Linked DNA regions of Elephas maximus indicus. The protein of the gene in region 2 interacts with the protein of the main gene of each other region in a biochemical or structural test. Links are inferred from orthologs where the notes say so. Each region holds a gene or a part of one and is shown on either strand. Other genes may lie near its edges. The genes, in order: RAB27A and SYTL4.

The links.
Region 1: the proteins of SYTL4 (region 2) and RAB27A form a complex in vitro, tested with the Homo sapiens proteins (2 studies listed by BioGRID). The link is inferred for Elephas maximus indicus from reciprocal best matches to the Homo sapiens genes SYTL4 and RAB27A.

Annotation. Positions count from the first base shown.
Region 1 is NC_064831.1:45,760,140-45,776,660, reverse strand, and holds the start of RAB27A (ras-related protein Rab-27A), read left to right. Parts: upstream 1-8,105; 5' UTR 8,106-8,194; intron 8,195-16,521. UniProt on the Homo sapiens protein: Small GTPase which cycles between active GTP-bound and inactive GDP-bound states. In its active state, binds to a variety of effector proteins to regulate homeostasis of late endocytic pathway, including endosomal positioning, maturation and secretion.
Region 2 is NC_064846.1:57,576,536-57,592,465, reverse strand, and holds the start of SYTL4 (synaptotagmin-like protein 4), read right to left. Parts: upstream 7,265-15,930; 5' UTR 7,136-7,264; intron 6,638-7,135; 5' UTR 6,554-6,637; intron 1-6,553. UniProt on the Homo sapiens protein: Modulates exocytosis of dense-core granules and secretion of hormones in the pancreas and the pituitary. Interacts with vesicles containing negatively charged phospholipids in a Ca(2+)-independent manner.

The DNA.
Region 1 (16,521 bases), on a different chromosome or scaffold from region 2:
AGACTTTTTTCTGTACACATGAAAAATGTATCTACCATGTGATTTTTTTTTTTTTTTTTACCATGTGATAGGCCTGGCTTTGCTTGGCTACGGGTAAACTGGGATTCTGCTCTGTTTCTTTTCATCCTGAGTCCTAGGCTGAAGGATCAGCTCCTGTTTAGGGTATGAAAGAAGCACATACCCAAGAGAAATGAAACTCTGTGTCCACACAAAAACTTGAACATGAATGTTCATTGCAGCATTATCCATAATAGCCACAAGGTGAAAACAACCCAAATGTCCATCAACAGATGAATGGATAAACAAAATGTGGTATATACACATAATGGACACTCTTTTCTCAGACTCCTTTTTGGACTTCCCCTGTCCATGCCTTAAATGCTGGGTGTTCTCTGGGTTCTGTACTGTGCCCCTTCTTTGTACTCTAGTATACTTTGTAGACTAGCTCATCAATCCTGTTACCCGATTAGGGTCCGTGCCCTGGAGCAGTTGAGCCAGTGAAAGGTACTCCGAGTCAGGGTGAGAAAGTTTACCAAGGGGATGTACACGTCACTGGGGACCAGCAGCAACACAGGCTGTCTCTGGAGTCCCAAAGAGCAGTTTTACATTAGAGCTTATATAGAATTTTACAAGGGTTAGAAGTGTCTGTAGTCAGCAGATGGCGTGGCCAGAGGAGTTATTCATTACAAGATAGTGACAAAAGACTATCAGACTAAAGAGACACGTGCTAGACATCTCTTAATCAGGCTAAAGATACACATATCAGACACCTGGGCTTTTATTTCCCTGTGAGGGGTTGTAAGTCAGGTGGTCGGACAGAACAAAGTTATTTGCATCAGATTAAAACAGAACAAAGTAGTTAACAGAAGTATGTGAAGGAGGAGGCAGGCAGAGGAAAGAGAAAAATTGATAGGTTCATCATGGCTTTAGTTATGTCAAGCACTCAGTTGCACATTTTGAAAAGGAGAAAACACTCTGGGGAGTATCAGGGTCTCAACTCTCACATCTACTCTTTGGATATTAGCTCCAGCACCTGTCTTCCATTCTTAAGGTCAGCCTATTCCACTGCATACTGTGATGTTCTGCTGGTGCTGGGGAGTCAAACTTTAAATGTTCTAAACTGAATTCGTTATGTCATATTTCACCCTTCCTACTTGTTGCAACTGGGTTTTCTTCCTGTTGCTCAGTGGTTCATAGTTGCCCACACCAGAAACCTGGGCATCTCCAGGGTCTCCTCCTTCTCCCTCACCCCCTACAGCCAAGTCCTCTTGACTCACTTTCTAAATGGTTCTGTCCATTCATCTCCATCCTCACAGCCACTACCTTAACCAGGTCTTTATTTTCCCTTGCTTGGATTTCAGCATACCCATTCTTAGCCTTATAACCACTAAGAAAATATGTTCCAAGTTCTAGTCATGGCTCTGTCACTTTTTAACTGTATGATCTTGGTCAGTTGTTTCATGGCTTTAATACTCAGTTTCCTCATCTGTGATACGGAGAGAATAGTACCTACTTTATAGGGCAGTTGTGAGAAGTAAATGAGGTTATGCATGCAAAATTCTTTGCATATTGGCTGACTCATCATAAGTCATCAATAAACATTAGCAATTATTTCTCTGGAGTTCTTTATAACTCAGACCCTACTTATTTTTCCAATTTCTTCTCTGATTACTTCCTTCCAATAAATTTTTCAGCTTTTTAGAACTTCTTTCAGTTGCTTCAATGTCTCATGCTTTCTCTTCCTAGAGTTCTTCACCCTCTCATCCTATTCATCCTTATTAATTTGTACATCGCCTTCTCTGGGAGGTCTTGATTTGGTGTCACCTCTTCGAGTTCCAGTAACACTTTAACTTTCCTTTTCAGGGCCCTAGGAGTTCTGGGTGGCACAGATGGTTAAGTACTTGACCACTAGCTGAAAGACTGACAATTTGAACCCAGCCAGAGGTGCCTTGGAAGACAGGCCTGCTGATCTGCGTCCAAAAGTTCACAGCCTTTAAAACCCTACGGAGCAGTTTTACTCTGCACGTCTGGGGTCGCCATGAGTTGGAATCCATGGCACGTAACAACAATCAGGGTCCTTATCTTACTGGAGTTGCCTGCTTACATGTTGATCTTCTACTGTATGACTGTAAGCTCCCTGAGGGCAACGACCAGTTTACCTTGTTCACTATTGCATCCCTAGTACCTAACACAGTGCCTGTATTATTGAATGAATGAGTGATGAATGGACTGCAGCATCACTGCCCATTTTCTGAAATCCTGTCTGGTTGACTCCTGGCCACAAGCCTTGCCTTGCTAGGGTGGTGGTGGGGGAGTGGCTGTCCCTGTATCACATCAGCCATTGGCAATTACTATATTGTTGGTCCCTCAGACCTTAGCTCTCAGTGACTCTCAGATCTCTTCCTCTAGACAGGAACGTGGTTACTCCTGTTAACCTCCACAAACAATGTGATGACTCTTCTCACACAGAAAACAGCCCTTGAAACCATCACCCTATGATGAATCCTGTTCTCTCTAACCCTAAGATCACTATTACGTTTGTCTGTAATACTGACAGTTTTACATGATCCATGCTATGTGTGAGGGGCCAGTCCCTGGAAAAGGACACCATGCTTGGTAAAGTGGGTCAGTGAAAGAGAGGAAGACCCTCAACGAGATGGATTGATGCAATATCTGCAACAATGAACTCAAGCACAGCAAAGATAATGAGGATGTCGCAGGAAGAGTATTTCTTTCTGTGGTACGCTGTTAGGTGGTGTCGAGTCGGTTCCGACTCATTGCGACCCTGTGCACAACAGAGTGAAACACTGCCAGTTCCTGCACCATCCTCACAATTATTGTTATGCTTGAGCTCGTTGTTGAAGCCAATGTGTCAGTCCACCTCACTGAGGGTCTTCCTCTTACCTGCTGACCCTGTACTCTGCCAAGCATGATGTCCCTCTCCAGGGACCGATCCCTCCTGACAACATGTCCAAAGTATGTAAGATGCAGTCTTGCCATCTTCGCTTCTAAGGAGCATTCTGGTTGCACTTCTTCCAAGACAGATTTGTTCATCCTTTTGGCAGTCCATGGTATATTCAATATTTTTTGCCAGCGCCACAATTCAAAGGCATCAATTCTCCTTCGATCTTCCTTATTCATTGCTCGGCTTTCCCATGCATATGATGCGATTAAAAATACCATGGCTTGGGTCAGGTGCACCTTAGTCTTCAAGGTGACATCTTTGCTTTTTAACACTTCCAAGAGGTCCTTTGCAGCAGATTTACCCAATGCAGTGCATCCTTTGCTTGCTTGACTGCTGCTTCCATGGCTGCAGTTGCCTGTTTTGAAAAGGAGAAAACATGCTGGGGAGTATTAGGGTCACAACTCTCAATCTACCCTTTGGGTATTAGACATAGGGTCACTATAAGTCGGAACAAACTCAACAGTACCTAACAACAGTAAATATGAGATTTGGTAAATTGGGTACATATCTGAGAAAATAGCACTTCCATAATGGGAACTGAGTAACTGTCGACCCAGAAGAACGATAGGTTTGGAATTTGTGGTGGAAGTTGACACATATCAACGGACGTTTTGTAAGAGAAGCTGGACTAAGGCTTCCAACCAATTCGTTTTGCCTATAGGGTTGCTCGGAAACCCTGGTGGTGTAGTGGATAAGCGCTATGGCTGCTAACCAAGAGGTTGGCTGTTCAGATCCACCAGGCACTCCTTGGAAACGTTATAGAGCAGTTCTACTCTGTCCTACTGGGTCGCTATGAGTCGGAATTGACTGCAATGGTTTTTTTTTTTTTTTTTTTTTTTTTAATATGGTCACTGTGAGTCCTGTGTATGTACAGGTTCTTCATGAGCACAATTAAGTGTTCTGGAATTTCCATTCTTTGCAGTATTATCCACAACTTGTTATGATCCACACAGTTGAATGCCTTAGTGTAGTCAATAAGACACAGGTAAACATCTTTCTGGAATTCTCTGCTTTCAGCCAAGATCCATCTGACATCAGCAGTAATATCCCTGGTTTCACATCCTCTTCTGAATCCGGCCTGAATTTCTGGCAGTTCCCTGTCGATATACTGAAAGATCTTCTGCAATATTTTACTTGCATGTGATATTAATGATATTGTTCGATAATTTCTGCATTTGGTTAGATCACCTTTCTTGGGAATAAGCATAAATACGGATCTCTTGAAGTCAGTTGGCCAGGTAGGTGTCCTCCAAATTTCATGGCATAGATGAGTGAGCAGTTTCAGAGCTGCATCTGTTTGTTGAAACTTCTTGATTGGTATTTTGTCAATTCCTGGAGCCCTGTTTTTCACTAATGCCTTCAGTGCAGCTTGGACTTCTTCCTTCAGTACCGTCAGTTCCTGATCACACGCTACCTCGCGAAACGGTTGAACATCGTCCAATTCTTTATACCATCTTCTTTTGATGCTTCCTGTATCGTTAAATATTTTCCCCATAGAATCCTTCACTATTGTAACTCGAGGTTTCAATTTTTTCTTCAGCTCTTTCAGCTTGAGAAATTCCTGGTGTGTTCTTCCCTTTTGGTTTTCTATCTCCAGCTCTTTGCACATGTCATTATAATACTTGACTTTGTCTTCTTGAGCTACCCTTTGAAATCTTCTGTTCACTTCTTTTACTTCATCATTTCTTCCTTTTGCTTTAGCTATTCGACATTCAAGAGCAAGTTTCAGAGTCTCTTACATCTATTCTGGTCTTTTCTTTCTTTCCTGTCTTTTTAATGACCTCTTGCTTTCTTCATGTATGATGTCCTTGCTCAATTTGTCTGGTCTTTGGCCATTAGTGTTCAACACATTGAATCTATTCTTGAAATGGTCTCTAAATTCAGGTGGGATATACTGAAGTTTGTACTTTGGCTCTTGTGGACTTGTTCTAATTTTCTTTAGTTTCAGCTTGAACTTGCATATGAGCAATTGATGGTCTGTTCCACAGTTGGCCCCAGGCCTTGTTCTGACCAGTGATACTGAGTTTTTCCGTCGTCTCTTTCCACAGATGTAGTCAGTTTGATTCCTGTGTATTCCATCTGGTGAGGTCCATGTGTATAGTTGCTGTTTATGTTGGTGAAAGAAGGTATTTGCAGTGAAGAAGTCATTGGTCTTGCAAAATTCTGTCATGCAATCTCCAGCATTATTCCTGTCACCAAAGCCATATCTCCAACTACTGATCCTTCTTCTTTGTTTCCAACTTTCACATTCCAATCGCCAGTAATTATCAATGCATCCTGACTATATGTTTCATCAATTTCAGATTGCACAAGCTGATAAAAATCTTCAATTGCTTCATCTTTGGCCTTAGTGGTTGGTGCGTAAATTTGAATAATAGTTGAATTAACTGGTTTTCCTTGTAGGCATTTGGGTATTATCCTATCACTGACAGTGTTGTACTTCAGGATAGATCTTGAAATGTTCTTTTTAACAGTGAATGCAGCGCCATTTCTCTTCAAATTGTCATTCCTGGCGTAGTAGACTATATGATTGTCTGATTCAAAATGGCCAATACCAGTCCATTTCAGCTCACTAATGCCTAGGATATTAATGTTTATGCGTTCCATTTCATTTTTGACAATTTCCGATTTTCCTAGATTCATACTTCGCACATTCCAGGTTCCGATTATTAATGGATGTTTGCAGCTGTTTCTTCTCATTTTGAGTCGTGCCACATCAGCAAGTGAAGGTCCTGAAAGCTCTACTCCATCCACGTCATTAAGGTCAACTCTACTTTGAGGAGGCAGCTCTTCCCTAGTCATCTTTTGAGTGCCTTCCAACCTGGGGGGCTCATCATCCAGCACTATATCACACAATGTTCTGCTGCTATTCATAAGGTTTTCACTGGCTAATGCTTTTCAGAAGTAGACTGCTGGGTCGTCTTCCTAGTCTGTCTTAGTCTGGAAGCTCAGCTGAAACCTGTCTACCATGGGTGACCCTACTGGTATCTGAATACCGGTGGCATAGCTTTCAGCATCACAGCAACGTGCAAGACCCCACAGTACAGCAAATTGACAGAGATGTGTTTGGACAGAAAAAAGGGATACTGCGTGGTTTAAAGTCAGGAAAGATGTGCGTCAGGATTGTATCCTTTCACCATACCTATTCAATCTGTATGCAGAGGAAATAATCCAAGAAGCTGGACTATATGAAGAAGAACAGGGCATCTGGATTGGTGGAAGACTCATCAACAACCCGCATTATGCAGATGACACAACTTTGCTGAAAGTGAAGAGGACTTGAAGCACTTACTGATCAAGAAAGATTAAAGAGCACAGCCTTCATTATGGATTGCGCCTCAACATAAAGAAAACAAAAATCCTCACAACTGGACCAATAAGCAGCATCATGATAAGTGGCGAAAAGATTGAAGTTGTCAAGGATTTCATTTTGCTTGGATCCACAGTCAACACCCATGGAAGCAGCAGCCAAGAAATCAAACGACACATTGCATTGGGCAAAGCTGCTGCAAAAGACCTCTTTAAAGTGTTGAAAAGCAAAGATGTCACCTTGAAGACTAAGGTGCACCTGACCCAAGCCACGGTATACATCATATGCATGTGAAAGCTTGAGGATGAATAAGGAAGACAGAAGAATTGATGCCTTTAAATACTGAATATACCATAGACTGCCAAAAGGATGAACAAATCTGTCTTGGAAGAAGTACAACCAGAATGCTCCTTAGACGCAAGGATGGTAAGACTGAGTCTTACATACTTTGGACATGTTGTCAGGAGGGATCAGTCCCTGGAGAAGGACATCATGCTTGGTCAGCGAGAAAGAGGAAGACCCTCAAGGAGATGGATTGATACAGTGACTGCAACAATGGGCTCAAGCGTAACAAAGATTGTGGGCGAGGCGCAGGACTGGGCAGTGTTTGCTTCTGTTGTACATAGGGTCGCTATTAGTAGGAACCAAGTGTAAGGCACCTAACAACAGCAACAACATGAATTGGAATCAACCGAGGGCCACAGGTTTGGCTTTGTTTTTAAGAAGGAATTATTTGGTTCAGAGGTGCTTTGCCTGTGAGGCCAGGAGGTGGGCTCAGTAGTCAGTGTTCAGACCTCTGGGCTACTGGAGGAGGAGCTTGGCTTCCTCTGGCTGGGAACCAGGTGGTCTGACCTGCTTCACAGCTACAGGTCTGGGAGGGTGGGGGCCTGCAGGCTCCCCCCCACAAAGGCCGGCACCGAGAGAAAGAAGCCGCTGGGTGGCAGCAAAGGCTCACAGGTTCCTCCTGTGTGCGGAGGCTCTAGGTCTCTTGCTTCTGTAATTGCTCTAACAGTTTTAGAAATTGAGTGGTTTTAGAATCCGAGTTAGATGGTGTGAGGAGAGACCCCGTTAGTTACTTCCTCCTAGAATTATATTTTTTCCTGACAAAATTTTGCTTCGTTATTCCTGTGGCTGTCCCCGGCTTGGGGAAGGCCATACCCAGCCTGAGCCGCGTGGGGAGCTGCAGGGCGGGAGGGACAGTGGCCGGTTGGCACCTCTGGCTACTAGGGTGCTGGCCCCAGCCCGACGCGCTGAAAACACCTAGAAAATGGCTTTGGGGAGGAGTTCCGCGAGAGTCACTGAGTACCTTGTAAATGTCGCCCCTTGTTCTCAAAACCGATCCCTGCCCCGGCTGACCTTGCACGCCTTCCAGAAAAGGTCAGTGGAGACCTGGCTTGGGACAAATGTGGCGAACAGGGTCCTCTCGTGGCTCGTAAGAGGACCCCGAGGTGGAGTCCTTTGCTGCTTCCTCGGCAGAGTGTCCCTGGGCAGGTGCCGCCTGCCCCGCGAGGAGGGCGCGGGCAGAGGACCTTCAGGGGCGGATAACCCGTGAGCGAGGTACCACGGGCTTACGTGTGCGTACTTACTAATCTGTAGTGCACAGCTTCACCTGTTTTTCACCATACCTTTAAAACCCATGTGAAATGGCGCACCTCGGGTTAGTAAGTACGCACACGTAAGCCCCTGTGTACCTCGCTTCCTGTTCCTCCGTCCAGGTCCCTCTCCCGGCCCAGAGTCGGCGGGGTGCCCCCAGAGGTGACGGGAGGAAGCGGGAGGTGGAAGGAAGAGGAGGTCCCGCCCCACCTCGCTCTCCTTTACGGGAAGTGATGTGGGGCCAGACGGAAAATACCCGCCAACTACCCAAAATCGGGGGACGCGGCTGCCGGAGACAGAGGCGCACTGGACGGCGGCCGAGCCAGGTGAGCCAGGTGGGGGCGCTGGGCAGGGAGGCGGGCTTGGGGCTGGAGGCTGTCACCTCTTTTCGCTCCTGGGGATTTGATCCCTCCAGAAAAGTTGCTTTGCGTCTCCCGGGCCAGCGGACAGAGCCCAGCGGTGACCACCGCCGGGGTGGCGGGGGGTCAGCCGGGGCGAGGGCGCAGTCCCAGCTCGGGCGGGGTCTGCGATCGCTTCCAGGTGGGCATCCAGGTGCAAGGGACCCCTGGGGGGTAAGGAAACGTCACCGGTGGGAGAGGAGGAGGTCCAGGTTTTTCCTAACCGCTCACCTTCTTTCTCCTTTTTCTTTTTTCAGTTTAATTATTTAACGTCTTTACACTTTTGTTGGTTGGTAAACGTCGGGGCGGCAAGCTAGCTGGGTGAAGTAGTTGCTCTTTTTCCTGTCAGTCCTGCAGAAAACCCTACCAGGCAGCCAGGCCTTGGGTCTGGACTCACAGTAGGCTGATGTGCTGACAGGTTTCAGTAATTATTGCCAAAGCCTTGTCTGTGTCCCCATAGACCACCGATTAAGCAAAGTAAGGCCCGAAGTGAAGGAAACCTGTGAGTCCTTGACTTCTCCGCCTGTCGGTCCCTGCTGGCCAGCTGGCCCACGTGGCCCCCAAGCTTGTGCTGCAGGAGCCTCTTCTTTACCAGGTGCGGGCTAACAGCTGTTCTTCCTTCCTGGATGAATTGTCACTTGGACTGTGGAAGTTTTAGGGTGGGGGAGGGAGTGAACATATGCCATACTATTATTGCTGACTTATTTTGTTGGTGCTCTACTACTCCTGTTCCTTCTTTTCAGCTCTCCTAAGAATTTGCTGTAGTGGGAAAAGACCCTGATATTAGCCTTAACGCAGTCTGCAAAACAGGATTTCTGCAGATGATTAGAAATGAAGAAGGGCTGTTACTAAAAAGCTTAGAGGACCTGACTGAGCGCCGTTCTTTTCTGTATTTATGTTGCCTGCCTGCTTGTATCCTCCCTCTTCGTATTTTTTCCTTCTTTTTTAACTTTCTGTGGCATGCCTTAGTTTTTAAGTTTGATGAGGTTCTGTTGATCTGTTTTTTTCTTTTGTTACTTGTGCTTTTGGTGGCATATCTAAGAAGCCATTGCCTAATTCAAAGTCAGAAGATTTGCACTATGTTTTCTAGGTGTTTTGTAACTTTAGCTACTACGTTTAAGTCTTTAATCCATTTTGAGTTAATTTTTGCATATGGTGTGAGGTAGGAGTCCAACTTTATTCTGATTCATGTGGCTATCCAGCTGTCCCCTCACCGTTTTGTTGAAAAGGCTGTTTTTTCCTGCATTGTATTGTCTTGGCACCCTTGTCGAGACTCAGTTGAGGGTAAATGTGAGGGTATTTCTGCACTCTCAGTTCTGTTCCTTTGATCCGTGTGCTTATCCTGTGCTGGTAGCACGCTGTCTGGATTGCTCTTGGTTTGTGGTTCATTTTGAACTTGGGAAGTGTGAGTCCTCCAAATTTGCTCTTCTTTTTCAAGATCGTTGTGGCTGTTTTGAATCCCGTGAGTTTCCATATGAATTTAGAACCAGCTTGGCAATTTCTGCTCCCTTGGTTCTAGATCAGATACAGGAATTTTGAAGTAAGTAGCAATCTCTAGGAACTGGACTCTTAATCTTCCCCTCTGTAGTCTGCTTTTCCCTTTGTATTCTCCATCTCAGTAAATGGCAAATTCTCTCTTGCTCAGGCTAAACGTCCTGGACCCATCCTTCATTCCATTCTTTCTGTCATACCCCTCATCTAATCCCTCAGCAAGTCCTATTGCTTCTACCTTGAGGATGTATCTAGAACATAACCATTTCTCACCACTCCCATTGCTTTTATAAAGCTCATGCCATCTCTGTCACCTGGGTAATTATTGCAAGGCTCCTAAAGGGCCTCCCTACTTCCACTCTGGCCACTCTACACTGCAGCCAGACTGAGCCTTTTAATACTTAAATCAGTAATGCCACCCATACTCTGTTCAATATTCTCCAGTAGCTTGTTATCTCAGAGGAGAAAAGCAGTCCTCATCATGGCCAACCCCTCACGTGGTGTGTGGCTCTCTCTGTTTTAACCTTCTGTCACTCTTCCCTCTGCTTACTCTGCTCCACTCACAATGGCTTTCTTGCAGTTCCTTGAGCATGCATTCGCCTCAGGATTTTGCACTTGCTGTTCCCGCTGCCTGGAATGCTGTTCCCTCAAATGCATGGCTTTTTCACTTATTTCATTAAGATCAAAAGTAATTTCTTTGAAGAGGCCTTGGCTATCTGAAACAGCATCACTCTCCCATTACTTTTTGCCGCCTTATCTTGCCTTGTTTTTCTTCCGAATAGAACACTAACTGTCATGAGAAGCACACAGATAGATAGGTGGGTGGGTGGATGGATGAATGATGACAGATAGATAGATCGATAGTACTGTGTATATCCTAATGCTAGAATATAAGCTCCACGAAGGCCAGGAATTCGTCCCTGTGGTGTGGTGTCCCTAGCACTTAGAATGCTTTCTCACACATTGCACTCAATAAATGAATGAAAAGGGAATGGAGGACTGAGAAATGAGGATCACCGTACTGTTTTTTTTCTCACTAGTCCTTCTCACTTTATCTGTAAGAGAAATGGCCTCAGATATGTCAGTGTCTCTGAAGCCTTTCTTCTTCTAGCATCTTATTTCCCCCAAGATAACAGCCTTACGCTCCTTGGAGAGGGAAAGGTCAAATGAGTACAAAGATGAAGGCTTTTTGGTCTTTTTCCTGGTGGCAGCAGGGAGCCCTCTGCTTTGCAGCCTGGGCTGACTGGACAGGGCCGTGCAGCACCCGTCTCTGGTGCTTTGGCCTCTTGTGCTGATCGAGGCAGAGAGTGAGGTTCTTTGAAGTTAAAGGAAATAGAAATTCATTTCTTACTGAATATCTTGCAGTATAGTCATTAATCTTTCTCTGGTTTTTAACAGAAATTGCTAACTCTGAGCCTGATTTCGGCATTTAATTACACACTGCTTTGGACTGTCAACTGTTAGGTATATGTTTGTCCATGGCTAGATTTTAACATTTTGGAGGCAGAACATGACTTCAGCTTATTTTTGAGTCTTATCTTGCAAGAAATCTTGGACAAAATAAGTGTTCAGTAAACTCTGAATGTATCGATAAGTTAATGGGTAAACCTGGAGTTTATTTTCATCGTTGGAAACTTCTAGCACGTATATTTAATTTCTCTTAGTCACTAGCTGCCAGTATCTTGTTATAGTCCACCATCCTGCCACTGACGAAAGGACGGCATTGCTGCAGTTGAGTGTGGTTTCCCACAGCGCTTTCCCAGTGAGAATTAAATTAATTGGCTTAGGGAATATGGTAATTAACTCTCTACGTTATTTTTTATTTATTTTTATTTTATCCTATTTTTTTATTGAACTTTAGGTGAAGGTTTACAGAACAAACTAGTTTCTCATCAGTCAGTACATACGTTGTTGTATGACATTGGTTAAGAACCCCACCACGTGTTAACACTCTCCCTTCTCAACCCGGGGTTCCCTATTACCAGCTTTCCTGTTCCCTCCTACTTTATAGTCCCCACCCCAGGGCTGGTGTTCCCCTTTAGTCTTATTTTGTTCCATGGGCCTGTTCAATCTTTGGCTGAAGGGTAAGCCTCAGGAGTGGCCTCATTACTGAGCTGAAAGGGTGTTCAGGGGCCATACTCTCAGGGTTTCTCCAGTCTCTGTCAGGCCAGCAAGCCTGGTGTTTCTTCCTTAGAATTTTGTTCTGCATTTTTCTCTAGCTCTGTCCGGGACCCTTTCTTGTGATCCCTGTGAGAGCAGTCAGTGGTGGTAGCCGAGCACCATTTAATTATACAGGACTCAGTCTGGTGTAGGCTGTGGTAGTTGTGGTCCATTAGTCCTTTGGACTAATCTTTCCCTTGTGTCTTTAGTTTTCTTCATTCTTCCTTGCTCCCGAAGGGGTGAGACCAGTGGAGTATCCTGGCGGCCACTCATAGGCTTTTAAGACCCCAGGTGTTACTTGCCAAAGTAGAATGTGGAACATTTTCTTTATGAACTCTGTTATATCAGTTGAGCTAGATGTTCCCTGAGACCATGGTCCCCACAGCCCTCAGCCCAGCAATTTGGTCCCTCGGGGAATTTGGATGTGTCTATAAAAAAAAATTTTTTTTTTTTTATGGAGCTACCATGGAAACCCTGGTGGTGTAGTGGTTAAGTGCTACGGCTGCTAACAAAAGGGTCGGCAGTTCGAATCCGCCAGGCGCTCCTTGGAAACTGTATGGGGCAGTTCTATCCTGTCCTATAGGGTCGCTATGAGTCAGAATCGACTCGATGGCACTGGGTTTGGTTTTGGTTTTACAGAGCTACCATGGCCCTGCCTTGTACAGGCTGTGCTGGCTTCCCCTGTATTGTGCACTGTCTTAACCTTCACCAAAATTGCCATTTATCTATTGTTTTTCCATCCCCACCCTTGCCCTCTCTCATAACCATCAAAGATTGCTTCTTTTTGTATATAAACCTTTTCATGAGTTCTTACAGTAATGGTCACATACGATATTTGACCTTTCGTGAATGACTTATTTTACTCAGCATAATGCCCTCCACATTCATCCATGTTATAAGATGCTTCACAGATTCACCACTGTTCTTTATCGTTGTGTAATACTCCATTGTGTATAGGTACCGCAATTTGTTTATCCATTCATCTGTTGATGGGCATCTAGGTTGTTTCCGTCTTTTTGCTTTTGTGAACAGTGCTGCAGTGAACATGGGTGTGCATCTGTCTATTTGTGTGATGACTCTTATTTCTCGAGGATATATTCTTAGGAGTGGGATTGCTAGATCATATGGTATCTATGTTATTTTTTAAACTGAATCTGCCTTCTGATGTTTTTTAAGCTTGTCTTGGAATGTGCCTTATTACAAAATATGAAAGAATTGTTCTTACACATATGTGTGTGTGTAATGTTCTCCTAAGAAATTAATAGGTCTAATTCCTTCTGAAAAATAAAACGGGGTTTGCAGGTTTAAAGTCTGAGCTCCTAAGAAGCAAAATTGTCTTGCCGTTGTTAAAACAAGATGCGTTTCTGAAGAGAGTGGTTCTCCCTCCCGCAGCCTTTGCTTTTTATGACCAGTGCAGGTTTTGCTGGAGCCATGTTTGTTGCTCTGCCTCTTGCTCGGGAGATGTGAGTTTATGATCTGGTTTCCCTTAAGCTGATTACCTTGGGAGTAGCATGAACACTGAGTTGGAGGCAGGGATAAAGGTTTTTAATTCACTTTACGCTCACCGCATGAGGCGTGTGGAATAGTGAGCACCCAGCTTGTCTTGGCCTCACTGTCTGGTCAGGCTGTACTCTCGTGGGCACACCATGTTCACTTTCCCGTACAACTGAGGTCTGGTAACACTCCTGTCTTACCTACTGTCAAGTAAAGTTAGATGCCTAACTTGCTCAAGAGGAATGCTGGAAGATTTATTCCTCTTTTCCTGCTTTTTTTTTTTTTTTGCCTCTGTCTGTGTTACCCTTGAGCCCAAAGAAGGCCTCTCATTTGGTGCCTCAGCCATGCACCACTAAAGTATATGGAACCAGACTTTTTGGCTCTTAAAACTGAACGTTTGATGTGGGGTCAGAGGCAGGGTTGCCAGATTTACCAAATTAAGAAAAAGTTAAATTTGCATTTAGATAAACAGCAAATTTTTTTTTTCACTATTAGTATGTCCCATGCAGTATTTGGGGCATACTTACACTAACAAAATATGCAATATTTGAGACACAATTATGTTAAAAATACTCATCGTTTGAATTGCAAATTTAACTGGACGTCCTGTATTTTATCGGGCAACCCTAGTCGGCGGTCAGGTTTGTGCACAGGAAATGCATTAATTGTGATAACGTCTGAAGAATGACCAAGCATTGTATATTCGTCTCAAGGAAGGAAGGAGAGGACTTGTCAACTCAGGGAGTATTAAAACTAGAAGGAAGTTTGAGAGCATTTAGTTTTATGTCTTTTATAGTTAAGGACATTCACATCCAGAGAGGTTAAGCCACTTGGCCAAAGCCACACAGAGGTGGTGGCAGAGCTAGAACTAGAGCTCCGGGTCCAGTGGTGGGTCTGCTGTGCTGACTTTTCCCTTAGGAGAGCAGGTGCAAGTTGCTTGTGTTTCAGTGTTAACCCTTAGCCACTCCGTTGTCATCCACCTGTGGTCACTTCTGTGCTGTCCTTCGTCCCCCATGTGCCAGACAAAGCCATTCTTGTGAGACACCTTTGGTTTTCCTGACTGCCACGTGGCTGTTGAAAGACACCGTTTGGATGTATTCCTTGTTATGATGCCAGAAGCTTGTAGTTCAATGTGTTTTTACTTGTTTTAAAGTCTTACTAATATTTTAGTTCCTTTTTCAGTTTTTATTACAAGGTTCTTTCTTTAAGTAGACATACCAAGAGTAATTCTACGACAATCGAATGCTGTCTTATCGAAAGCCTGCTTGCTTTGAGCAGCCTAACCAAAAACAAAAAAACAAACCCTTTGCCTGTCAAGTCGATTCCGACTCATAGTGACTGTATAGGACAGACTAGACCTGCCCCATAGGGTTTCCAAGGAGCAGCTGGTGGATTCAAACTGCCGATGTTTTGGTCAGCAGCCAAGCTCTTTAACCACTGTGCCACCAGGGGTCCTTGAACAGTCTACCCCTCTAAAATTCCCTTGTATTTTAATAAGGTAAATATGGAAGATATATGGCAAGTATCAAAATAGATAGGTAGGTATATATGACTTGTCCCTTAGAAATGTGTCCTTTTTAAACACTGGATTGTTTTACTGTAATTATTTTTAAAATTCTATTTATTTTGCTGTTGTTGTTGTTGTAAATATACACATCAAAACATACACCAATTCAACAGTTTCTACATGTCCAATTCCGTGACATTGACTATATTCTTTGATTTGTGCAACCATTCTCACCCTCCTTTTCTGTGTTGTTCCTTCTCCATTAACAGAGGCTTGTTGCCCCCTAACCTTCCATTTGATCTTTCCAGTTGCTGTTGTCCGTTTGATCCCATAAACATAGTTCTTGAAAGAGCATCATTATCAGCTTAAATGAGCAAATATTAAGGCAGACATTCTTTACTAGTTAAGCTAAACTATTGTTTAGTTTTAAGAAAACTTCAGGGGATATTTTTGGTTAAAGCTTTAAAGATTACCTCAGGGCAATAGTTTCAGTTTCATTATTATTATTTTTTAAAGTTATTTGTGCATATTTAAGAAAGCATTCTTGAAAATGAACATGCTTTTTCTACCTGACAACTAGAATACCAAATTTCAAAGCCACTGATCTTGTTTTTTTCACAGCTTCGTTGGTTAATTCATCTAAAGCCCTACCATCTGTCAGGTCAAAGCATAATAATGAAATTGGTTTCCAAGAGACTGAAGAATCTGTTGGTTCTTATTTCCTGTTGCTCATCTACCCAGCCCTCAGAGCATGATCCCACCACAGAGGAGGGTGGCCAGGTCCTAGCTGAGTATGGCTATAAACTTATCTCTTGTGTGTTCTATCATTAAAAACAAGGAAAAGGTCTCAATCAGCTAGTTAAATATGATCGTAGTTAAACTTGATGTACTAGCCCTATTATGGGGGCAAATGAGACATACTGAAATAGATCATTACTTAAATGTTCATTTGAGCAAGGTATGAAAATACCTCGGCATTTATTAATATAATCCATGGCTATGGTTGCAATTTCTGTTTCTTGCTGTGTGTGTTTAATTTTTGGAATGGATATCACCACTGCAAGGGAGTGACCCCAGGAACGAGTGCCGAGGTCTGGCCGACCTAGGAAAGATGAGGTATGGTCTCTCCAGTCAGATACTGGAGACCAAATGTGACCAAGCAAGCTGCTGGCTGTCCTTGGCTTGGCTTCTCTTGTAGGGATAAGGCCAGCTGTCCACACTTCTCTCTGTTTTAGGCACAGAGGACCAGGAAGTGGGTTATGGTATTTCCTTAGGGAGTGATCCACCCCTGTGTACCAGAGCTCCTACTCAAAGGTGGAGGAACCAACAGTACCAGAATCAGGAGGCCGGTTTTTAGTCTCAGTATTGCTGATAATTAATTATGTGATATTACACGTTTGGTTCTCAATCGGGGGCAACCCCTCCACCCACTCCCCCCCGCCGAGGACATCTGGCAATGTCTGGAGACATTTTGGGCCACATAACTTGGAAGTTACTACTAGCACCTAGCGGGTAGAGGCCAGGATGCTGCTAAACATCCTACAATACACATGACGGCCCCCACAACAAAGAATTATCTGGTCCAAAATGTCAGTAGCGCCAA
Region 2 (15,930 bases):
TGCCCCTCCACAGCTCCTTTGTTCTCAGCAACTTCACAGATCCTGCCCTCTTTCTCTCCCAGCTCAGTGGAAGAGCTACCTCCCTTTCTCTAAGGCCAGACTTTTCACCCCTCCTGCTTCCCTGGGGACTTTGCGTCATCAAGCTCTCCACCATCTAGACATAAATGGGCTCTTCTCTCTCCTATATTTTACAACAACAGCAACCTTTTCTGGCCCCCTGCGCCCTACTGTCTATAAGAAACACTCTCTCCTCACCATAGCCAAGCCTCTTTCAAAGTGTATACCATATTCCCTAATGGTCCTCATCACTCTCCACCCCTCTACAATCTGCCTTGTCTCCTCCTGCTGCACTGATGTTGTCACTGACCTCCTAATTGCCAAATCTAATGATCATGTTTTTTAAATGTTTTATAGTGTGTTTTATCTGATTATGAGAGGGGTACACATCATGAACAAAGTTATGACACATGACAGACTGGAGAGAGAGAGAAAAAAACTTGTACTATAGAAAAGGCAATAGGTAAACATCTCTAATAAATATAGTGTTCTTACAAACAAATTAAATACATAACCCAAAAGAAAAATGTGCAAAGGATATGAAGGAGCAAGTCTCAGGAACAATACAAACAGCTAATACACATGAAAAGATGCTCAGCCTCACTAATGGTCAGAGAAATGAAGGGTAAATCAGTTAAATACAATTTTTCACCGATCAGGTTGGCAAAAATTGAAAAGACTGTCCATCATCAGCAAGGATATGAGGGAAAGCACTCTCAGTGGTGAGAGTGTAAACTCTTTTGGGTGTCACTCTGGCGGTGCCTACTCAAATTTTTAAAAGTACATATCCCTTCACTGAGAACTTCTCCTTCTAGGGAGCTATACCACAGAAACGTGTGTGTGTGTGTGTTTTTGTGTGTGTGTGTATCCTTGAGCACTGTGCAAGAATGTTCATTGCAGCCTTGTGGTTGCTTGGAGTGGGTGATATGCAGAGGAAATGGAGACATGTGGCAGAATAAATGATATATTTTGAAGATAATGTTGACAGCACTTCCTGATGAACTGGATGTGGGGTTGGGAGAATAAGAGAAACCAAGGGTGACCCTCAGTCCTTGGACTGAGCAACTGAATGGATGATAGTGCCGTTTCACTGAGATGGGAGAGGATGAAGGGAGGGACTAGTGACAGGGGGGGAATCAGGAGTTCTGTTTCAGTTATATTATGTTTGAGATCTCTATTTGGCATCCAAGTAGAGATGCTGACTAGGCTATTGGATATATGTCTAGGACTTAGAGAAAAGGCCTAGGTTAGAGACATAAATTTTGGAGTGATCAGTGTATAGATAGACATCATTTAAAGCCATGGAGCTGGATGAGATCCTCTGGGAAGATTTTGGATGGAGAAGAATCTACAGACTGAGACCCCTGGGTCACTCCAATGTTTAGAGGAGAAAAATTTATCAGAAGACGAAACTAAGCAGAATTTTGTTGTTGTTGTTTGTTTTTTAAACAAATTTGGGAGATAAATTTATCAGAAGAGGAAACCAAGCACAATTTTGTTGTTGTTGTTTGTTTTTTAACAAATTCAAATTTCAAAAACATTAATGTTTATCAAATGGTGGAGAATCATATATTTACCACCTTAGGAAGGGTCCAACTCCTTCCAAGCCTGTCTTTTGAGGGATTCTGGCCTGGTTTTTTTCTTTTTTTTTTTTTTGGTGGGGGGTAGTCCCTGGGTGGCATGAATGGTTAAGTGCTCAGCTACTAACCATTCAAGATTGGTGGTTTGAACCCACCCAGAGGTGCCTCAGAAGAAAGGCCTGGTGGTCTGCTTCCAAAAGGTCACAGCCTTGAAAACCCTATGGAACCTGCCTACCACCATCAACTGCTCTGACTGTGATCACAATAAAGGGTCCGGACAAAGCGGGAGAAAAATGTACAACAGAATTCACAAAAAAGACCCGATTTACTGGTCTGAGAGAGACTGGAGGAACCCCTGAGACTAGGAACCCCTGAGACTAGGGACCCCAGACACCCTTCTAACTCAGAACTGAAGCCACTCCCAGAGTTCACCTTTCTGTCAAAGATTAGAGAGGCCTAGAAAACAAACAATAACACAGGTGAGGAACGTGCTCCTTAGATCAATCAAGTCTATGAAACCAAACGGACAACACCTGCCCAAAAGCAAAGATGAGATGGCAGGAAGGGACACGAAAACTGGACAAATGGAAACAGGGAACCCGGGGTAGAAAGGGGGAGAGTGCTGACACACTGTGGAGATGTCAACCAATGTCACGAAAGAATTTGTGTATAAATTTTTTGAGTGAGAAACTAATTTGCTCTGTAAACTTTCACCTAAAGTGCAGGTGCGCGCGTGCACGCACACGCGCGCACACACACACACACACACAGCCTATAGAGTGCAGTTCTACTCTGACACACATGAGGTCACCATGAGTCAGAATCAACTCCACAGCAGCTGGTTTGGTTTGGTTTGGTTTGGGGCCTTTTTTCTTTCTGAATATTTAAAAACATTTAAACAGAAAAGAGTAATTTTTTTTTCTTTTATGTTACTTAGTAGTTTCCTCACACGGCGTAATTATCCTAGTACAAAAACTGTCAAACTAAACAAGTAGCATTCATTCAGCTATGGCTTTTCTGTAAAGTTCATAACCCAATAACCACTTCATGCCTAAAGGTGTAAGAGTGACTTTATTGGGAGGCAAGAAACCTAATCTGTGGCATCTTATAAGGTCCCTGGGTGGCACAAGTAGTTTGTGATGTCTGCTAACCAAAAGATTGGTAGCTCAAACCCACCCAGCAGTGCCATGGAAGAAAGGCCTGGCAATCTGCTTCTGTAAAGATGACAGACAAGAAAACCCTACGGAGCAATGTTATTCTATAACACTTGGGGTCACTGTGAGTTAAAATCGACTCAAAGGCAACGGTCTTGGTTTTTTGGTTTTTAGAGTCTTTTCAGCTATTCACTTCCCAGACCACACAGTAACTTTTCTCCAGCATCCTACTGAGAAACCAAATGCCTGTGAAAGGCCTCAAGACATCTGATAATCCACACTGCCCGCTTCAGCACAGACCCCTTCCTACCAACAAGACCCAGTGCCGTTGAGTCGAGAAGCACAGCATTTTCACTTTTCGAAGTTTCCACCAGAGACCTATGCTTTAAAATAGGAGAGAGGAAGCGCTGCCAACTAGGTCAAAGTGGTCATCAGGAATGCAATCTCAAAGTAAAACTCAACAGAAGGAAAGCTATGTGAGAACTGGGTGTGGGGTACCCTCACAGCTGTAGGGCGATAAACTGGGTAAGCTTAGTTTCAGGTCCAGGAGAGTACAAAAGAGTGCCAATTCATATAACAGTAATGTCATTCATTAATTCATTTAACAAATATTAGTAAGTACCTAAAGAAAATTTTTTTTTTATGATGTGTCAGGCTGTCTTCTGGGTGCTGGGATCTACCAGTGAATAAAACAGACAGAAATCCCTGCCCACATGAAGTTTATGTGATAGTGGGAGGAGACAGACAATAAGAAAAATGAATAAAATACACACAGTATGCTACATTAGAGTAATAAGGTAGGGAAGGGAGATCTCGAATGTTCACGGAAGGGGTTGCAATTTTAAAAACAGCAAAGGTCTCACTGAGAAGGTGACATTTAAGTACAAACGCTTAGCTGCAGGATTTTAAGTGCCTCAGGAAGGTGTCTTTTGTAGTTTACCAGATCTCAGGTCCTTTAGGGCACTGTGTCCCCAGTTCCTAGCACAAACATTTGTTAATCCCTTGTGCTTAGGACAAATTGAGCTCTGAGATCCAGACCTTGCCCTTAAAGAAGTAACAACCTTTCAGGTGAAAAAACAACTAGGAGAGGTGTTAAGGACTCCACTGAGGTGTAAACAAAGTGCTTTAGGACACAGAAAAACCCTTTCAAGGTCCAATTACTTTCTGTTTTTTTGATACCATGTGTTTTCATTAATGGAAGCATGCTGAGTCATAAAACAAAAAACCAAACCTGTTGCTGGCTACTTGGTTCTGACTCATAGTGACCATACAGGACAGAGGAGAACTGCCCCATATGGTTTCCATGGAGTGGCTGGTGGATTCGAACTGCTGACCTTTTGGTTAGCAGCCTGAGCTCTTAACCACTGTGCCACCAGGGCTCCATGTTGAGTCGTGGAGTGTGTTTACATTTTTGGTGGATTTGAACTACCAACCCTTTGGTTAGCAGTTGTAGCACCTAACCACTATGACACCAGGGTTTCCGGTTTTCCAAATATGACACACACACAAGCAAAAAAAAAAAAAACCAAAACCCATCAGGGCTCCCTATCACACAGGAAACCATAAAAATTTTTACAAGGCTTATCTAGGGGTACAAAAGCCAAAAGGGATAAAATTTTTACCCAATCATACTTCCTGATTGCACTACCTAACTCAGAAGCCTCATACCCCAGCTATTTTGCTTCAACTAACATTTCTTTCATCTTTCTCCATTATGCAAGTCCCCACTGGAGGGCAGCAAATACTTTTAGCAGTAAAAGTATACAACCAAAGAACCTGAAAGCCGGAAAAAGTGGGTGATACACCATATATACCATGAACCATGAAGGACATAACTAGTAATTCTGCCTGGGTGTTCAGTGAAATTGTATCAAAGGAGGTGACTTTAGATAAGCCTAACCCTAACCTCCAGAGAAGCTAAATCTTGAGAGATGAATACAAATTAATGACTGGGTGTAAGTAAGGGGTGGCGTGCTAGCTTTTCAGGAAGAAGAAAAAAAAAAGGAACAATGTGAGCAAAGACCCAGAGATGGGATCATATTATCCCTGCTTTTTTTTTTTAACCATACCCATCAAGTCGATTCTGACTCATAGACGGATCCTATAGGACAGAGTAGAACTGGCCCATAGGGTTTCCAAGGAGCAGCTGATGGATTCAAACTACCAACCTTTTGGTTATCAGCCACAGCTCTTAACCACTGCACCAGGACCAGGGCTCCCTGCCTAAGGTAACCTATTCATCCCAGGATAAAACAAGCACACAGTCTCCCTCAGGCTCTCTGGCCTGGCTGTTGGGAAGTTCTTATCACCTACCGCACCCTTGTTTCTCCCCTCGCCAGCAGGAAAGGAAAATGTTGATCCAGGAGCACATCCCTAGAATCCAGGGTTACCTTCTCCTATCTTCAGGACAATCACTACTGAGCTGAGAGCCTGGGAGGTTTCATTCATCTGGGTACACTCAGGGGTGTGTGCTTATGGTGGCAACATGACAAGTGGTCCCACATTTGGAGCAAGGTGGGTAAATAAATCAGTGAAATAAGTGGTCCAGAATCACCACAGTGTATCTAAGGTAAGTTAAGGACCAAAATTTATGCTTCAGTGTGGAAGGAAAATTTTTAGTCACAGTCTTCACCCACGAGCTATTAGCATTCCTAACATCTAAGATGGTAGAGGTGGTATGACAGAGGATAGGAACACAAACTCTGTGGTCAGATGGCCCAGCTCAGCCCCTCATCAGCTGGGTGATTTGGGGCAAGGTACTCAAGCTCTCAGAGTCTTCTTTTCATCATAATATGGTTATAATTATAGTGCCTACCACATAGAGTTATCTTGAGGATTATATGAGATAGTTATGTAAAGAACTTATCACAGTGCCTGGCTCAATGAATTCTAACAACCATTATTAGTAACAGCCTTTAAGGAGAAAAAACTCAGAGAACATTCACCAGAATGCTACATACACTCACAGACCAATTACTCCAGAAGAGGCATCTAACCTCCATTTCACTCATCTGTTCTGGAGTGAGGCACCTGAAATGGTATTACCAGAAATGTTCATCCTCTGCCCAAGAAAAGCCTCACAAGCCAAGTTGGTGTTTTTTTTTTTTTATATACTAAGATTTCCAGCTGGTGCTAAATACATGTACTTATAGATCTACATACACTGCATCTGGGCCTCACCTCTGCATTAAACATTGCTCTAGCCACAGATCATCGGGGTAAACAAATTAGATCATTAATGCCTTAATGTTAATGGATTTGTGAGGGGTGCAAGAGCAGAAAAGAAGCCAGTTAAATATAGGAGATCCAGGATATACTGAAGACTAAGTTCTGCCACAAATGTACAAGGTCTAGGGTCAACCCTGCCAAAAGCAGTATTCTGGAATGCTAGGTCCTCTGGTCCAGAAGAAGCAGGGAGAAAAAGAAAAGGTTGGTTAATGAAAAGCAGGTGCCTTTTTAAGCCACCAGCGTTCAAACCAAATGATTTCACCACCAAAAAACTCCCAACCATCTCATTCAAAGTGAAGGACTGGAGGAACACCTTTTCTGCCCCATTACAAACCATCACAGGAGACAGAAACGTTCTGTGTCCCACTCTGAGGGCTCTGGAACGTTTCTCCAGGAGCAAACTCCTGAAACCTGCTTGAAGATTGGCAAGATAAAGCACTTGGGCTCCAGAGCACACAGCCCGGGTCCCCAGCCCCAAGCGCAGAGGGAGCCCACTAAGGCAGGACTCGGGGCCAACTGGCCTCCAGCCTTTACCTGCGGAGGACAAGCCGAGGCGAGGGCAGCCGACGCCGCGAGGTCCGCGGTCCGGAGTCAGGGTAGGGCAGAGACGGCCGAGCGCTGCGGGAGGAACCGACGGAAGGGTGACTCGACGCCTCCGAGGGCGCCGCTCCCGCTAGGAGCTCAGCCCTACCCCCGCCCCTAAGGCTTGCTTGCGGGAGGGGCACCGGCTCCGGCGGGCGGGAAAAGCTGGGACACTCGGTGGGAGCGGAGACCCCCAGGAGGCAGAGCCCAGAGGGCAACAGCACGCGTTAGCGACGGGTGGGCCAGGGGAAGGGGACCAGAACAGGCCTGGGAGAAAAAAAAAAAACTCGTGGGAGGGGATCGCCCCAAGCAGATCGGACTCAACGTGTGGGGGGAGCGGTCCGGAGGGGCGGACAGGGGAGAGGAGACAGGCGGTCTGCTAGGGGCAAGTATAGACAGGGAGAAGCAAAGGGGGATAGGGAAGGACGCAGGTCCCTGAGATGGGGGTGGGGGGACGCTTTGGCAGCGAATAGGGGCTGGGGGCCCAGAAGGAGCACCGGACCGAGGGCTCAGGGCCGCTGGCTGCGGACCTACCTGTCACCTGCAACAGGTGCCGCGAGAAGGCGAGACGTCCCAGTGCTGGATTCAGGGGAGGGTCTCCAGCTCCTGGAAGATTGCCACCCCGCTCTTGCGGCCGGCCCTTCTCACCCTCCAGGGAGGCGGAAAAAGCTGCAACTTTCCCTGGAGCGGGGAGGAGCTGCACTCTTAAAGGGGCCGCACAGCGCTCCGGGCTCCTAAGTAGGGGACCGCTCCCCTAAAGGGGAGCTTGGGGAGCCAGAGTCTTAAGACACTTGTAGAGTGTGTCCTCCCAGGCTAGGAAAAAAGACCTTGAGACTGAGGACAGGGGTCTAAGATTAGACATCTGTGATCACTTTCTTAGATGGTAAAATCATCTACCTCTTCCGCTCAGCTGAGCCAAAGTTGTCAAATTGTCGCGTACTTCCAAGAATACGAAGACTCTGGACTATATAATTCGGGAGGATAAAATGTGACACCATTCTGATCCTTTGACTTTCGGCCTTTTATGGTAAGTAACAGTGGTTAAAATACAAACGTGTTGGGCAAAGAACATAGACGAAATTCACACTCACACACACGGACACAACTGGTTAAAATATTAAACTCACTAGTAATCAAATAAGAACAAAAATGAGATTCTTTGGCAAAGGTTTATATTATTGCTATTTTAACACTTAATGATGACAAAGTGGCCACCAAACAAGGTCTCTCATACTTGCTGGTTGGAGTGTAGGTTAGTAAAAAAAAACTTAGAAAATAAAGCACGGGAGCAATATATATCAGTAGACTTTAAAATGTTCCTATCTACCCAGTAATTGTAGATTTCACTCTCTCTCTCTCATTCTCCTCCTCTCCCTCCCTATCTCCTCTCCTCCATCCTTCCCTCTCTTAAGTCACTTAAATGCTCAAGTCTCTCTCATCTGTCATCAGCAATTACACAGTGTTCAAGTCTCTGCCATCTTAAAAAATAAAATATCCTTCCTACTCTCCAGCTCCTTTTCATACGCAAATTTATTGAAAATGTACTTTACAGGTACATTTGCTATTTCCATTCCCTTCTCATTCATTTCTCAACCCTCAGCAATCTGGCTTCCTTCCCCAACACTCTGCTGAAACTGTGCAGCAAAAGATATCCAACCAATAGGGTACTTTCAGGCCTTGTCTTGCTGACCTCTCCATGGCATTTAACACTGTTAACCATTCCCTCCTCCTTGAAACTCTTCCTGTAGCATCTATGACCCCATACGCCTTTGCCTTACGTCCTACCCCTTTGTCCCCTCCTCAGTCTCCTTTGTAGGTTCCACTTCTGCTATCTGACCTCTAAAAGTTGGAGGTTCTCAGGCTACATATACTCTCTCCCTAAATGATCTTTTCACTCACTTAGCTTTAATTAATATATACACGGCCACAGCTGTAATCATATTGTTCTACATAGACCTCTTCACTGACCTCTGCTTTCTTGACACCTCCACTTGGATGTCTTGCAGGCACCTCAAAGTCAATACATCCAAAACTGAATCCACCATCTTCTCTATTATATTTGCTCTTTCTCCGACGTTTGCTATCTCACTTAATGAAAACATGCCACTCAAGGCCGAAACCTGACAGCTAGTATACTACCTGGCTCATAGTAGGCCCTCAATAAATATTTGTTTAATGAATGAATGAATGTGTCCCAAGGAAACAGAGACGTACACAAGATTTTTGTACAATGATGTTAATCCCAGCATTCCTTAGAATAATAAAATACTAGGAAAAAACCTAAGGGTTTAATACCTACCTACCCATTGCTGTGGAGTTGATTCCAACTCATAGCGACCCTATAGGACAGAGTAGAACTGCCCCATAGGGTTTCCAAGGAGCAGCTGGTGGATTTGAACTGCCGACCTTTTGGGTAGCATCCAAAGCTCTTAACCACTACGCCACCAGGGCTCCAATGGTTTAATAGTTAAGTTAATTACAGTATTTTCATACAGCGCAATACTATATAGCAAAAAAAAAAAACAACTCATTTTATACATAGTGCACAATGACAGGGAAATGCATATACTATAATATTAATTGAAAGTAAGATACAAAATTTAATATATAAGATGATCACAACAATTAACAAAAATGAGGAAGATGATATGCATAGAAAAAAAGACTAGTAGGAAATATGCCAAAATATTAACAGTGGCTGTCTCTAGGTGGTGGAATTGAATGAATTTTTAGTTTTCCTCCTGCTTCTATATATTTTTCAAGTTTTTTATAATGAGCTTGTATGGCTTTGATAATATGAAAAAATAATTTTTTTAATATTATAAAGAGAAAGAAAAGAAAATTTTTAATTTTTAAAAGACTAAAGAGTAGAATTCCACTCCCAGGCTCTACCTGGAGTTCTCTTCCCTACTTTAGCCCTTCAATTCCCTGCCCCCAGCCTGAAGTGTAGAAGAGCCATTTCAAAAAGCAAATCCTTTTTTTTTTTTTTTGTCTGTCTAGTTTTGCCAATTCAGCCCTTGGGGCCCATTTGCTCAGCCCTGGGCTTTTAATGTGTTCCATGTCCCAAACCGGGAAGGAGGGGAGGAAGTTCCAGGCTCTTGTCTTGCCCTGGGCTGTGGGAACTCAGACCAAGCATTTCTCTGTTCCTACTTCACCTGGGGTGCTTGAGGGAAGCTGGTAACACCCTCAACCAGAAGGGACTTCAGAAAACACGTAGTCCAACCTCCTTATTCCTCAGCAAATTGCAAAATTTCCAGATATTATTTTAAGCTTTTACTTCTTTCTACATATGCAGTGTCCCACTCTCCAAGGTTGGCCTCTTCTCTAAGACAATCTCACTGACTCAGTTACAAATACACAGAGAGAGACAAACAGAAACAATGAACCAAAACAAAGTTAGGAAATGGCTGGTTTACATGCATTCTGTGCTCTGCATACTGTTGCCCAGTTTGATCCTCCTCCTCTGTCACAAGGATTCTATGCTCAAATTCTTATACTAAATATTGTGAGGGATCCAATGTGACCAAACTCAGGTACTACCTTGTACAAAAATGTAAGCAGGAATTTATGGATTATCATCTTATGTATAGTATGTAAACTCCTGTTCCATAGTGAATGATTGGTTTCAATGAGTTGTTCGATTTTGCCACGTTGAAGGAGTTCTAGCTAGTGCAAACTAATAAGACGGAGATTTTCCACAGCCCTAGCTGACAAGATGCCTCATTATTGAACAATTACTTTTTTAAAAAAAAAAAAGTGTTAACTATTTCAAAAAATACATGGATCTATAAAGAATACTATAACAAGGACACGCTCACTACCCAGCTTAAGAAACAAGGCAATATCAATACAATTTAAGCCTCTTGCATCCTCCATCTGAGGCTTTCACCATCCCAGATCTGGCCTTCATCATTTCCATGCATGTCTTTATACATTTACTACATATTTGTCTATCACTAAGTAAAAAAAAAAATGTAGTTTTTAAACACTTTATATAAATAGTATGTAGCTTCTGATATTTGCTTTTTTCACTCAGCGTTATGCTTATGAGATTTATCCATGTTGATATATGTAGTTCTAATTTATTCATTTTCACTGCTGTAGACCATTCCAGGGCATAAACATATTGCAATTTATGTAACTGTTTTTCTGTTGATCAGATACTTTTTTAATTGACAAAGTCTTAAATCCCAGATACAGGGGCCCTCCCTCTTTACCTCATGTTAGGTAAGTTTGCTTTTGTAAAAACAAAACAAAAATAAAAGCAGGTTTCCTCACAAAGCAAATTTAGTGCACTAGTGATCTACAGTGAGTACAGGATGTAAAAAGTAGATTCAGTCTCTCAGTCAGTCAAAATCACAATTTCTCAACCTCTGCACTATTGACATTTTAAACCAAATCATTATTGTGGGGGCTGTGTCCTGTGCATCATGGGATGTTTAGCACAATCCTTGGCCTTTACCCACTGGATGACAGTAGCAACACTCCCAGCACTCCCAGTTGTGACAAACAAAAATGTCTCCAGATATTTCCAAGTATCCTGGATTAAGAATCATTGGTCAAGATATACTTGTTAGGTGCTGTCAAGTTGGTTTTGACCCACAGTGACCCTATGCACAACAGAACAAAACACTGCCCAGTCCTGTTATATGCAAAGCATTTTAGTAGGTGCTATAGGAAGAGCACCTACTAAAATGCTTTGCATATAATGAATGCTTAGTATATCTTGACCAGTGGTTCTTAATCCAGGACATTTGGCAATACCAAATGTCTGGAAATGTTTTTGGTTGTCACAACTGGGAGTGCTGGGGGTGTTGCTCCTGGCATCTATTGGGTAGAGTCGCTGTAGGAGGAAGAGGACCCCTGGTGGCACAGTGGTTAAGAGCTTGGCTGCTAACCAAAAGGTCAGAAGTTCGAATACACCAGCCACTCCTTAGAAACCCTATGGGGTAGTTCTACTCTGTCCTATAGGGTTGCTATGAGTCAGAACAAACTTGATGGCAATGGGCTTGTTTTTCTTTTTTTTTTTAATAAGAAGAAGATGTGATAGAAGATGAACAAACACTGAAAAAAGGTCACTCATTCAAAGATAGGTATTGAGCATCTACTAGTACAAAGTATATGGTACTAGGCACTGGGCTTTTGGTGATCCTTGTCCTCAAGGAGCTCACAGTTTATGGGGGTGGAGGAAAACCACAAACATAAAATTACAGAACCTTGTGGGAAGTGCAAAGCTAGAGAGATGCACAGACTGTGTGGGCGCACCTAGGATGACCACTTATGGCAGTCTGGTGGGTCAGTGAAGGGTCTCTGCAAGAGGATGCTTCTCTAAATCTGGAAGGATGATTAGAAATTAGCTAGGACAAAAAGGAGGAAAGGCATTCTAAGCAGAATAATAGCATAAGCAAGAGGAAAAAGGCTAGAAACACTGGTATATGCAAAGGATGTATAAGGTGTAGCCAGAGAATAAAATTTAACAAAAAAAGTGATGATTGCTGAGGCTAGAAAGATCGTCAGGGGCTACATCTTCAGAGGCCTGTGAGTCATCTGAAACAATTTGTATTTTATCCAGTAGCTAATGACAGCCATTCGAGGAGAAAAAAAAAAAAAACCTGTTGCCATCAAGTCGATTCCGACTCATAGCTACGCTATAGGACAGAGGAGAACTTCCCCATAGGGTTTCCAAGACTGTAATCTTTATGGAAGCAGACTGCAAAACCTTTCTCCCACAGAGCTACTGGTGGATTCAAACCCCCGACCTTTTGGTTACCAGCCAAGGGCTTAACCACTACACCACCAGGGTTTCTTTGAAGTTCCCTACTCTGCCATTTTTCGTGATGTTACTTTTTTTTTCATTTTTGTGACTAAATAATACTCGTTTATGGATATGCCATATTTTGTGTATACATTCATCAGTTCATGGATATTTTGGTTGTGTCAACATTTTGGCTATCATGAATAATGCCCATCACTTACCTATCATTTTGTTGTACTGTGTTAGCTTGCATGTTGCTGTGATGCTGGAAGCTATGCCACCGGTATTTCTAACAGGACAGGTTTCAGTGGAGCTTCCAGACTAAGACAGACTAGGAAGAAGGGCCTGGCGATTTACTTCTAAAAAAATAGGCCAGTGAAAACTTTATGAATAGCAGCAGAACATTGTCTCATATAGTGCTGGAAGATAGCCCCTCAGGTTGGAAGGCACTCAAAATAGGACCAGGGAAGAGCTGCCTCATCATATTAGAGTCTACCTTAATGATGGAGTCACACTTTCAGGACCTTCATTTGCTGATGTGGCATGACTCCAAATGAGAAGAAACAGCTGCAAACACTCATTAACAATAGGAACGTGCAACACACGAAGAATGAATCTAGGAAAGTTGGAAGCTGTCAAAAATGAAATGGAATGCTTAAAGATAGATATCCTAGGCATTAGTGACCTGAAATGGACTGATACTGGTCATTTTGAATTAGACAATCATCATATGTTGTACTATGCAAGGAATGACAATTCGAAGAGGAATGGTGTTGCATTCATTGTCAAAAAGAACATTTCAAGATCTATGCTGAAGTACAATGTTGTCAGTGATAGGATAATGTCCATACGCTTACAAGGAAAACCAGTTAATACTACTCTTATTCAAATTTACCCACCAATGACTAATGTCAAAGATGAAGAAATTAAAGATTTTTACCAGCTTCTGCAGTCTGAAATTGACCAAACATGCAATCAAGATGCATTGATAATTACTGATGATTGGAATGCAAAAGCTGGAAACAAAGAACAAGAACCAGTAGTGGAAAATATGGCTTTTGTGATAGAAACAATGCTGGAGACTGCATGATAGAATTTTGCAAGACCGATGACCTATTCATTGGAAATACTTTTTTCCAACAACATAAACAGTGACTATACATGTGGACCTGGTTGGATGTGATATACAAGAATCAAATCAACTACATCTGTGGAAAGAGTCAATGGAGAAGCTCAATACCATTAGTCAGAACAAGGCCAGGGGCTGACTGCAAAACGGACCATCAATTGCTCATATGCAAGTTCAAGTTGAAGCTGAAGAAAATTAAAACAAGACCAAGAGAGCCAAAGTACTACCTTGAGAATATCCTGCCTGAATTTTAAGACCATCTCAAGAATAGATTTGGTATGTTGAACACTAATGACCAAAGACCAGGCAAGTTATGGAATGACATTGAAGACATCGTACATGAAGAAAGCAAGAGGCCATTAAAAAAACAGGAAAGAAAGAAAAGACCAAAATGGATGTCAGAAGAGACTCTGAAAGCTGCTCTTAAATGTCGAATAGCTGAAGCGAAAGGAAGAAATGATGAAGTAAAACAGCTGAACAGAAGATTTCAAAGCTTGGCCCCAGAACGCAAAGAAAAGTGTTATAATGAGATGTGCAGAGTACTGGAGTTAGAAAACCAAAAGGGAAGAACACGCTCAGCATTTCTCAAGCTGAAAGAACTAAAGAAAAAATTCAAGCCTTGAGTTGCAATATTGAAGGATTCTCTGGGCAAAATGTTGATCAATGCAGGAAGCATCAAAAGAAGATGGAAGGAATACATAGAATCACCATACCAAAAAGAATGGGTTGATGTACAACCATTTCAGGAGGTAGCTTGTGATCAAGAAAAGATGGCACTAAAGGAAGAAGTCCAAGCTGCACTGAAGACATCAGTGAAAAACAAGGCTCCAGGAATTGATGGAATACCAATTAAGATGTTTTGAGACATGGATCCAGTGCTGGAAGCGCTCACTCATCTATGCCAAGAAATTTGAAAGACAGCTACTTGGCCAACTGACTGGAAGAGATCCATATTTGTGCCCATTCCAAAGAAAGGTGATACGACCAAATGTAGAAATTATCAAACAATATCATTAATATCACACACAAGTAAAATTTTGCTGAAGATAATTAAAAACATGCTTGCAGCGGCACATTGTCAAGGAACTGCCAGAAATTCAAGCCACATTCAGAAGAGGATGTGGAATGAGGGATATCATTGCTGATGTCAGATGGATCTTGACTGAAAGCAGAGAATACCATAAAGATGTTTTAATGACTGTATGAAGGCATTTGTCTGTGTGGATCATAACAAATTATGGATAACATTGCAAAGAATGGGAATTCCAGAACACTTAATTGTACTCATGAGGAACCTGTACATAGACCAAGAGGCAGTTGTTCAAACAGAACAAGGTGATACTGTGTGGTTTAAAATCAGGAAAGGTGTGCATCAGGGTTGTATTCTTTCACCATACTTATTCAATCTGTATGCTGAACAAATATCCAAGAAGCTGGACTATGTGAAAAAGAACACAGCATCAGGATTGGAGGAAGACTCATTAACAACCTGTGATACACAGATGACACAACCTTGCCTGCTGAAAGTGAAGAGGACTTGAAGCACTTACTGATGAAGATCAAAGACCACAGCCTTCAGTAGGGATTACACCTCAACATAAACAAAAGTCCTCACAACTGGACCAATAAGCAACATCATGATAAACGGAGAAAAGACTGATGTTGTCAATGATTTCATTTTACTTGGATCCACAATCAGCACCCATGGAAGCAGCAGTCAAGAAATCAAACGATGTATTGCATCGGGCAAATCTGCTGCAAAAGACCTCTTTAAAATATTAAAAAGCAAGGATGTCACTCGAGGTGCACCTGATCCAAGCCATGGTATTTTCAATCACCTAATATGCATGCGAAAGCTGGACAATGAATAAGGAGGACTGAAGAAGAATTGATGCATTTGAATTATGGTATTGGCGAAGAATATTAAATACCAGCGATTGCCAGAAGAACAAAGAAATACAGCCAGAATGTTCCTTAGAAGCGAGGATGGCGAGACTTTGTCTCGCATACTTTGGACATGTTATCAGGAAGGACCAGTCCCTGGATAAGGACATCATGTTTGGTAAATTAGTCAGAGAAAAAGAAGAAGACCCTCAACAAGATGGATTGATAAAGTGGCTGCAACAATGGGCTCAAATATAGCAACAATTGTGATTATGTCGCAGGACTGGGCAGTGTTTCGTTCTGTTGTGCATGGGGTCACTATGAGTCAGAACCAACTCAATGGCACCTAAAAACAACAAAAGCAATGAATAATGCTGCTATGAGGGTTTTTTTTCTTTCTTTCTTTCTTTTTGAACATGTGTTTTCAGATCTCTTGGGTATATACCTAGGAATAGAATTGCTGAATCATATGGTAATTCTATGTTTAACCTTTCGAGGACCAAACAGATTGCTTTCTGAAGTGGCTACACCATTTTACATTTCCATCAGCAATGTATGAGA